Alligator mississippiensis: one gene and its partner. The protein of the gene in region 2 purifies or fractionates together with the protein of the main gene of each other region. This does not show direct contact. Links are inferred from orthologs where the notes say so. Each region holds a gene or a part of one and is shown on either strand. Other genes may lie near its edges.

Region 1 (3,746 bases), on a different chromosome or scaffold from region 2:
GGACAAACTTTAACAGATTATAAACTGGGACAAAGCACCAGGCTAATGAGTCATTGATCATACACCAAGCAAGCAGCGAGAATCACAATGCTTCAGGCTTATGCACAGCTAAGTGGTCTAGCAATCAACATTATAAACATGGCATATCATCATCTGTGCACCGCAGTCCTTACCATATCAATATCATCATTCTTCTCATCTTCGCTTGGAGCTTTATGGTCTTCAGATGGTCCATTCTGCCTGCTTTCTTCTGAACTGCTGATCTGACCTTGGCTGATGTTCAAGGTGGACAGTTCATGATTATTCTGGAGCTGGGGAGGAGGTGAAGACGAGTGTGGAGATAGGCTGTGTGCTGCATTGGTCTCTTCCAGTAACAAACATATCAAATCCCCTGAAACAATTCCATATGAAGCCAGGGTCTCCTGGTCTTCAGTAAGGGCATCTTTGTTGTTCAATGTTATTGCAAACTGGGTATCAGAACTGCAAAGACAGAAATAAACTGCTCGGACATGTGCACTAGCATCCCTTTAAATTATTCATTCCAACTACACAAAATATAGTAGTAGTAGTATTAAACTGCTTTGTTAAGCCTGAAACCCAGTCTCAATCAGCCCCATGCTAAAGGAATTGCTGGAAAAATAAATGACCATAATATAAATCTTTGACAGAGACTAACATAAGTCCCTCTGTTTTTCTCTTTATGATAATTTTACCTAATGCACAGAAACTTACAAAGTCTGAGTACTTAGGAGTAGGTATAAGCATGCCTGCTTTCCAAAAACTGCTTTAGTCTGCAATGTGCCTTTACAAAACAAATGCATCTGGAAGCCCTCCTAAAGTAACCTATCATCTTGGGCAAATCAGGGCAGAAATCTTCCCTTTGTGGCCAGCTAACTTTTAAAACAACGGCCTAACAGTCTAAGCCACCTCGCTTTCCAATTAAATCAATGCATTTGTTTCAAGAAGCCACATGCGACCTCCTACCTTCAATTACAAAGGCGACCTGTGGGCAAAGCTGTTTCAGTGCATGATTATGTTCTGATGGCACAAAAAGCCATCAGCAGATCCTAGTTTTCTCTGATAAAAAAAAAAAAAATCCCGAGTTTTCAGTTAAAAAAGTAACCCCATATCCATTTTCCATGATCAAAATGAAACACCACTATATGATCACAGATGTACATCACTTGTGCACATATGATGAAATGTGTGTGTGCGTGTGTGTATGTACACATGTGCATTTTGATCACAGAGAAATGTGGATTTTGGGATACTTTTTTAAATCTGAAAACTGTCTTTTTTTTTTTTTTTTCAAATCGGAGAAAACCAGGCCATCACTTAATAGAAAAAGTTCCCTTCTTTGGTGAGTCCTATAGGAGTCTCTAAATACCATACTGCAATTAGGGTCCAGTGGGCTGGTAGTGTACATGCATGCTGGCTGTGAAACACTTTACTTCAGTGTGGCAGACTGAATGGGTTTGCAGCAGAGGAGCAAGAGTTCATTGCTGTGACTACTTTTCAACAAATTTCTCTGCAGGAAAGTTTAGAGATGAATGTGTCAAGATAAAATGTATTACATGAATGCGCAAAAAGCAATTGAGCCAAGGATTTGGGGGATGGGGGTGGGTGATATTTTATACTGGTTCCAGTGCATGACTGGGAAAACATTTAGACAAGCTTTCAGGCACAAGAAAACTTGTGACAAAATCTCACCCAACCTTGCAGTAGGTCCAACAAGAGACATGACCCACTGCCCCCAGAAAAACCCTTGCCTTTTGAGTATTTCCTTGACCATCACAGCTACACCATCACTCCAGTACCCCTGAAAGGCTCTCCAGGCAGCACCCAGGGTGGGGGAGATCAACTGGTGGAGAAGCAGGGGACTGAGCCTCTCCGAGCCCATGAGGGCAACTCTGGGGACAGAGACAGCCACAAACCCCTGCTGCGACAAGGGTGGTGGCAGCGTGGGGGCCAAGGCCCAAGGGACCCGCCGGGGGCGCCAGTGGAGGCCACAGCTCCACCCACCTCAGGTGGCCCCCAGAGCCAGGCCCCGCCCACAGCCCCAAGTCACGCAGCCAGGTGCCAGCACCCCCAGCAGCCTCGCCTTCGCCAGAGGGCGTGGTAAGAAGCCATCGCGCGGCCGGGTCACGTGACCCATCCCCTCAGCCCCAGCGCTGCTCTCGGGCGTCCCCGCAGCCTGCGGGGAGGGCTGTCCAGCGGACTGCCGGCGCCGCAGTCCGCCGAGGGGCTAGGGACATGGTACAGAACGAGCGCCACGCCCCTCCCCCAGTGGTTGGGTCCGTACCTGTACCCCCACGCGGGCAGCACGGCCTGGCACAGGTGCGCGCGCAGCTCCCCCAGTGTTGGCTCCGCCCCCCCCACCTCGAGCGGAGCCGTCTGCTTCTGCAGCCGGGCGCGGAGCTTCATGGCGGCGGCAGCGACGCCTTTTCGCTCCTGCCTAAGGATCCAACCTGGCGGCGCCGACGCGGCAGCAGCTGCTGCTGCTGCTGCTGCTGCTGCTGGGGGGTGTTGTTATTTGGGTTGGTGACGCCACTTCCTCACTCCATGGGAGCCCCGCCCCGGCCTCGCCCCTAGGTCATGGGGCGCGCACCCTGCTCCCTGCCCCACAGGTGACGTTGGGGATCGATGATTGGGCGATCCTCACAGGACCTGCGTCCTGCGAGCGCGCACGAACGCAGGTGGTGAGCAGGGCTGAAGTGCGCAGGCGCACGTCGATGATCGGGTACTCGGGTAGCATGCGTCACAGGCTCGAATCCAAGCAGAGGGGTGGGTGTGGGGGAGGGGCGTGACGCAGATCCGCGTTCTCTCTGGGTAATTGTGGGAGGAGGCAGCGAGGTCCGGCCCTGGCCCCACCCCACAAAGGGGCGCTAGGCGTGGCCGTTAAAACCGTTGGAGGCCGCCCCGCAGGAGGCGGAGTGGGAAGGCATAGAGGACATATAGCGCAACTTCTGAGGGAGGATGTTCCCTGTCTACGGCAACCCATGCAGAGCCCTTACTTGACCTGTTTGTAAAAGCATAGGGTGACCCCTGACATGCAGCAGCCAGGTATGGTGCCTTGAGCTGCCACACCAGAAGGACCTGTGGCAAGTTTCTGGGTCCAGCCCCCTGCATCAAGCATGAAAGGCAACTGGGGTCAGGTGACCCCAGCAAAGTGACAGTCCAGTCTCCTCTTGAAGATTTCCAGGGTAGGCATTTGCACCACCTGTGTGTGCAGGCCGGGAGCGGTCCGAGGCCCTCAGGGTTTGTTTTTTTTTCGCGTGGCGGGCTGTGGCCAGCAGCCCGGACACGCCGGGTCGGGGAAGGCAGGCGGCACGCTAGAATTAGGCACGGACGCTTAGTGGTTGATTTAAGATTATTTTACTTACACCAAAGATGGTCGCAGTGCAGGCAGGAAAACTTGCTTGAGTTGCAGTTACAGACAGAAAAGAAGAGAGGCGGACTAGAGTTCCTTCCCGTGAACCTTCTAGCCCAATCCGGTAGAAAGCTCTAAACCGCAAGCCCGTCGTGTCAACCGAAGAAAGTAACTCGAAGCAAAGAGCTCTGAATACACTCACACGAAGTTTGCTAGGCTCCGTGGAACTTGCGCACAAGGAAGGGTACGTCGAGGGATCAGGCGGCGACGGGGAGAGGCAAGAGGTTGATCAGACCCCTGTAGCCTTCTTAAGATACACGCTGGGTCTGATAGGCTCCGCAGCGCTTAGAGATCTTCACAAGATGTGAAGTCCTCC
Region 2 (3,746 bases):
ACTTTCACTTTCAATTTACTATATAGTGCTGCATAATCTCCCCTGGAAGACATGTTAGAAAGCTTCTGAAATATCGCAATCCTTTAATAGGATTTGGAGAGTATTATGCAGTTGTTAAATACTTTAAAAGTTGCCTGCGTGAGAATTTAGGAACCGTTGTGCAGATTGATTTTCTTGCAATTTGAAGAAAACATTACCGAACCCTCAATACTGTATACTCCCTATAAAAAGGCTATCACAACACATGTTCAGAAGGAGCTGCCAGTGTTGCCAGTCTGCAATTCTGCAAAACATTTCCTAATATTTGGTGCATGCTTGCTATTTTTCTTAAAGCCTCAGCTGCCAAGCTTATGAAATTGCAGGTTCATAGCCTCCTCCCCATTCCCTTTTTAAAAGGAAGTTCCTAGTAGACTGGGTTGCAAGGGAAAAAGAGCTTGAAGTGTTAACTGAGTAAGTTGTAAAGGCTCAAAAACCCAAATGTAAATTAGAAACCTTTTTGAAAAGGCTTAAATGATTTTTGAAGGGTCTGAAATAATATTTAGAACACCTAGAGCTAACAGTACTGCTCTAATTAAAGTACAGCTCTTAAGAGAAATAAGAATTATATGTTTACGTAGTTAGTTGACTGCATTCGTTTGACATAGCTATATTAGTTCTAAGAACTATGCCCCCGTAAACACTTCAACTGACTGTCTGTAAGTATATGAAAGATCAACCCTTTCCCCACTCAAAGTCTAGACCAGGGAACCTAAAAAACATGGGTTCGCCTGAACCATTATTCAGACTGACAGTACTGTATCCAGATGAGGCTCTTGTTTCCAAATCCAGGCCTACTAGTTAAAACTATAAAAAGTAGGTTAATTAAAGTAACACAAATAAAAAGTTAAAACCTTAGCCATCATTTATTTATATGATCTTTATTGTCCAGAAGGTTTAGCACACTGTATCATTTTGAACAAAAAGTTATACTGGTTTGCGTAAATCTGTTGGAAAAGGGTTTTTCCCCCTCATTTAAATAAAACGACACTTTACAGTGAAAGACCTGGTAAGCATTACATAAATATAGTACATCAGCAAACAGCTCTCCAGTACCGTTTCAACTTTGAACTTGCATACTCTCACGCTAAAGAACATACATAGTAACTGCTTTTTATTCTCACTACGGTATTTCAGGTGAGCAGTTACGGCTGTTTTTTCTACTTGAAGAAACTAAGAAATGATGGTGCGAACTGGGTTCCCAACAACCAAAAGCTCCAAGACATGCATGCATTTGTTTCAATTAACATCCCTCAAGTTCTCCCTGACGCTGTCTCTCATTGGGTGGGAGGAGCTCTTTGGAAGTCATTGCCCTGTCATCCAGTGCTTATAACAGAACAACATCCAGAAAGAGGTCCAGAGCGTGCTGTTCTGTGCTGTCCTTACTGCTGGTCTAGTCAAATAATCCCTGGCTCCTTATCTTGCTGGCCTGCTCCAACTGACTCCGATCCTACATTTAGCCAATGCAACATACAGCATTTCAGGCCCCAACTTCAAGCAGTACATGGACAGTTTAGAAAGAATCCAGGGCCACAAAAATGATCAGGGGCCTGGGAGACAAAGGAAAGGCTGAAAGAACTAGGGTTGTTTAGCCTGGGAACGAGAAGCCCAAAAGGGAATTTGATAACTGTCTTCAAATATCTTAAGGGTAATAATTAGAGAAAATATGGGAGATGGGCTTTTCTCTGTGGTTATAAAAGTGACAAGTTGAGATGCAAAAGACTCAAGCTGCAGCAGGGGAAGTTTAGGCTGGAGATGAGGAGGACGTTTCTGAGCACGAGGGAGGTGAGGCCAGGCACAGGAACAGGTTTCCTCAAGAAGTTGTGGATTCCCCGTGCTCAGAAACTTTTAAACGCAGGTGAGAGAGACCCTGGGCTGGGATGCCTTAGTCAGAAACACTGTTGCTTTGAGCAGGGGCTGGGCTTGGATGCCCTCGCACAACGTCTCTGTCATCAGTAGGGCTAGAGGGGAAGGCCCAACGGGAGCCGCTAAGCCAGCGTTCTCCATGGTTGCCTCGAGATCCTTGCGACGGGGCCACGCAAGGAGAGTGCTCGTAGGTGGGCAACCAGGAGACAGAGATTTGCAGTGGGAACCCACAGGGCTGTGAACCCCGGGTCATGTGCCTGCTGCCCGACCTCTCTGCAGCACAGGAGTCGCTCCAGAGTTTCCCTGCAGTTAAAAGTAAGGAAGGAGGAAGGGATCCCCATTCACGGGGGGGGGGGGGGCTGCAGGGACGGGGGGGGGGAAGTCCCCATGTACCAGAGGAAGGGCTGCAGGGAGGGGGGGAGGTCCCCATCCCCCTCCCGGCTCTCACCGTGCTTCATCTGCACGATGCTGGAGGCCGCCACGGTGTCGGAGGCGACGAGCACGTAGTCATGGCCCTGGATGCCGATGAGGTATTCCATGGCGGGGGGGAGGGGGGCGCTCGCTCTATCTCAGCTCCGGTCCGACCCGGCAGCCGCTTCCGCCCCCTCCACGACGCGACGTGACACAGCGAAGGCGCACGCACGCCCGGCGCACGGAGATGACGTCAGCGCCGAGTTCTCGCGAGAGAGCACTCAGTGCCTGGCCTAGACCGGGGTCACGTGACTGCTAGCCGCGCCCCGGGGCTCCGCCCGGCCCCTTAACCCCGTCCTCGCCGCGCTGCCATTTGCTTCCAGGGTTTTCCCGCCTTCCCCGCCCTTACCCGGCCCAGGGGTGTCGCAACCCGCCGCGGGGTGCAGCCCTCGCCTGGTGCTGAGTTAGCCCATGGGGACATCTCTCCCTTGCCCATAGAGTTGTCAAATCTGAAGCTATTCCAGGAGATTTTTTGCCCCCCCTCCGCAATATGACATCACTCATTGCACTGTACATGACGTACGATGTCATTAGGCTGCCAAGGGAAAGAGACACGCGATCAGACGACGCCGTTATGTTTTACGCACGTCCATACATGAATCCCGTGCATTTGTCCTATTCACTGATTTTTCGTAAAATAGCCGATTAAAATCCCCGTGTTGCTTTCAATAGTCACCGAGATGCCGATCCCGGTGGACTCCGGGGGGGCTGGGGTTGTTCCATCGTGGGATGAAACCTCCTGGAACAGATTCGGAGCCGGCAACCCTACCGTCGGCACGTGTGCGCCGAGCAGGCTACGGGCGAGCACGTGTCCAGGTGCCCTCGTGGTGGCACATCGGAAGAAGAACGTGAGCTAACGTGGGCACCGTTCCTGCCGTGTCTAGGGTTACGTTGGGTAGGCCGGGAAGAGACATGTGGCAATAGCAACCTAAAAAAAAAAAGGCTGCTTCATGTGCTCAGCCTATATCTCAGTCCTGTATTGAGGACTCTACACAGACATAATACCAATTTCCACTTGGGCGTGCAGGTGCTGCGATCTCCTTGTGCCACCTTCAAATATTGGTCTCTGATAACCTGTGCCGTGCTGAAGTGCAGTCGTCCTCTAAAGGTACAAAAGCACAGGCTGAGGTTCCTTCTTTATTTGGCGATCCTGGGCCCATCTCATTGTAAAGATTTCCCTCCGCCCCTGCCACCCCCCGGGACAAACAAAAAAGACTAGGATCTGAGAAGCCATTTTCTAGTTAATGCTACATCATGCTCAGACTGCAGATAAAACTTAGCAGACATTTTTTTGCAGTGGATGGTGCATGAGACAAGACTCCTTGCTTAACCACCTAGGATTTGCCTTGCTTAACCACCTACTCAGATTTGCA

What was found. Proteins that work in one complex are often made in the same cells at the same time.
Region 1: the proteins of PSMB2 (region 2) and FBXO7 purify together in Homo sapiens (affinity purification with mass spectrometry; 3 studies listed by BioGRID and IntAct, counting the BioPlex papers as one, with this or other methods). This does not show direct contact. The link is inferred for Alligator mississippiensis from reciprocal best matches to the Homo sapiens genes PSMB2 and FBXO7.

The regions. Positions count from the first base shown.
Region 1 is NC_081827.1:103,411,986-103,415,731, forward strand, and holds the start of FBXO7 (F-box only protein 7), read right to left. Parts: upstream 2,428-3,746; 5' UTR 2,425-2,427; coding exon 2,303-2,424; intron 481-2,302; coding exon 174-480; intron 1-173. UniProt on the Homo sapiens protein: Substrate recognition component of a SCF (SKP1-CUL1-F-box protein) E3 ubiquitin-protein ligase complex which mediates the ubiquitination and subsequent proteasomal degradation of target proteins and plays a role in several biological processes such as cell cycle, cell proliferation, or maintenance of chromosome stability.
Region 2 is NC_081829.1:8,712,362-8,716,107, forward strand, and holds the start of PSMB2 (proteasome subunit beta type-2), read right to left. Parts: upstream 2,537-3,746; 5' UTR 2,442-2,536; coding exon 2,351-2,441; intron 1-2,350. UniProt on the Homo sapiens protein: Non-catalytic component of the 20S core proteasome complex involved in the proteolytic degradation of most intracellular proteins. This complex plays numerous essential roles within the cell by associating with different regulatory particles.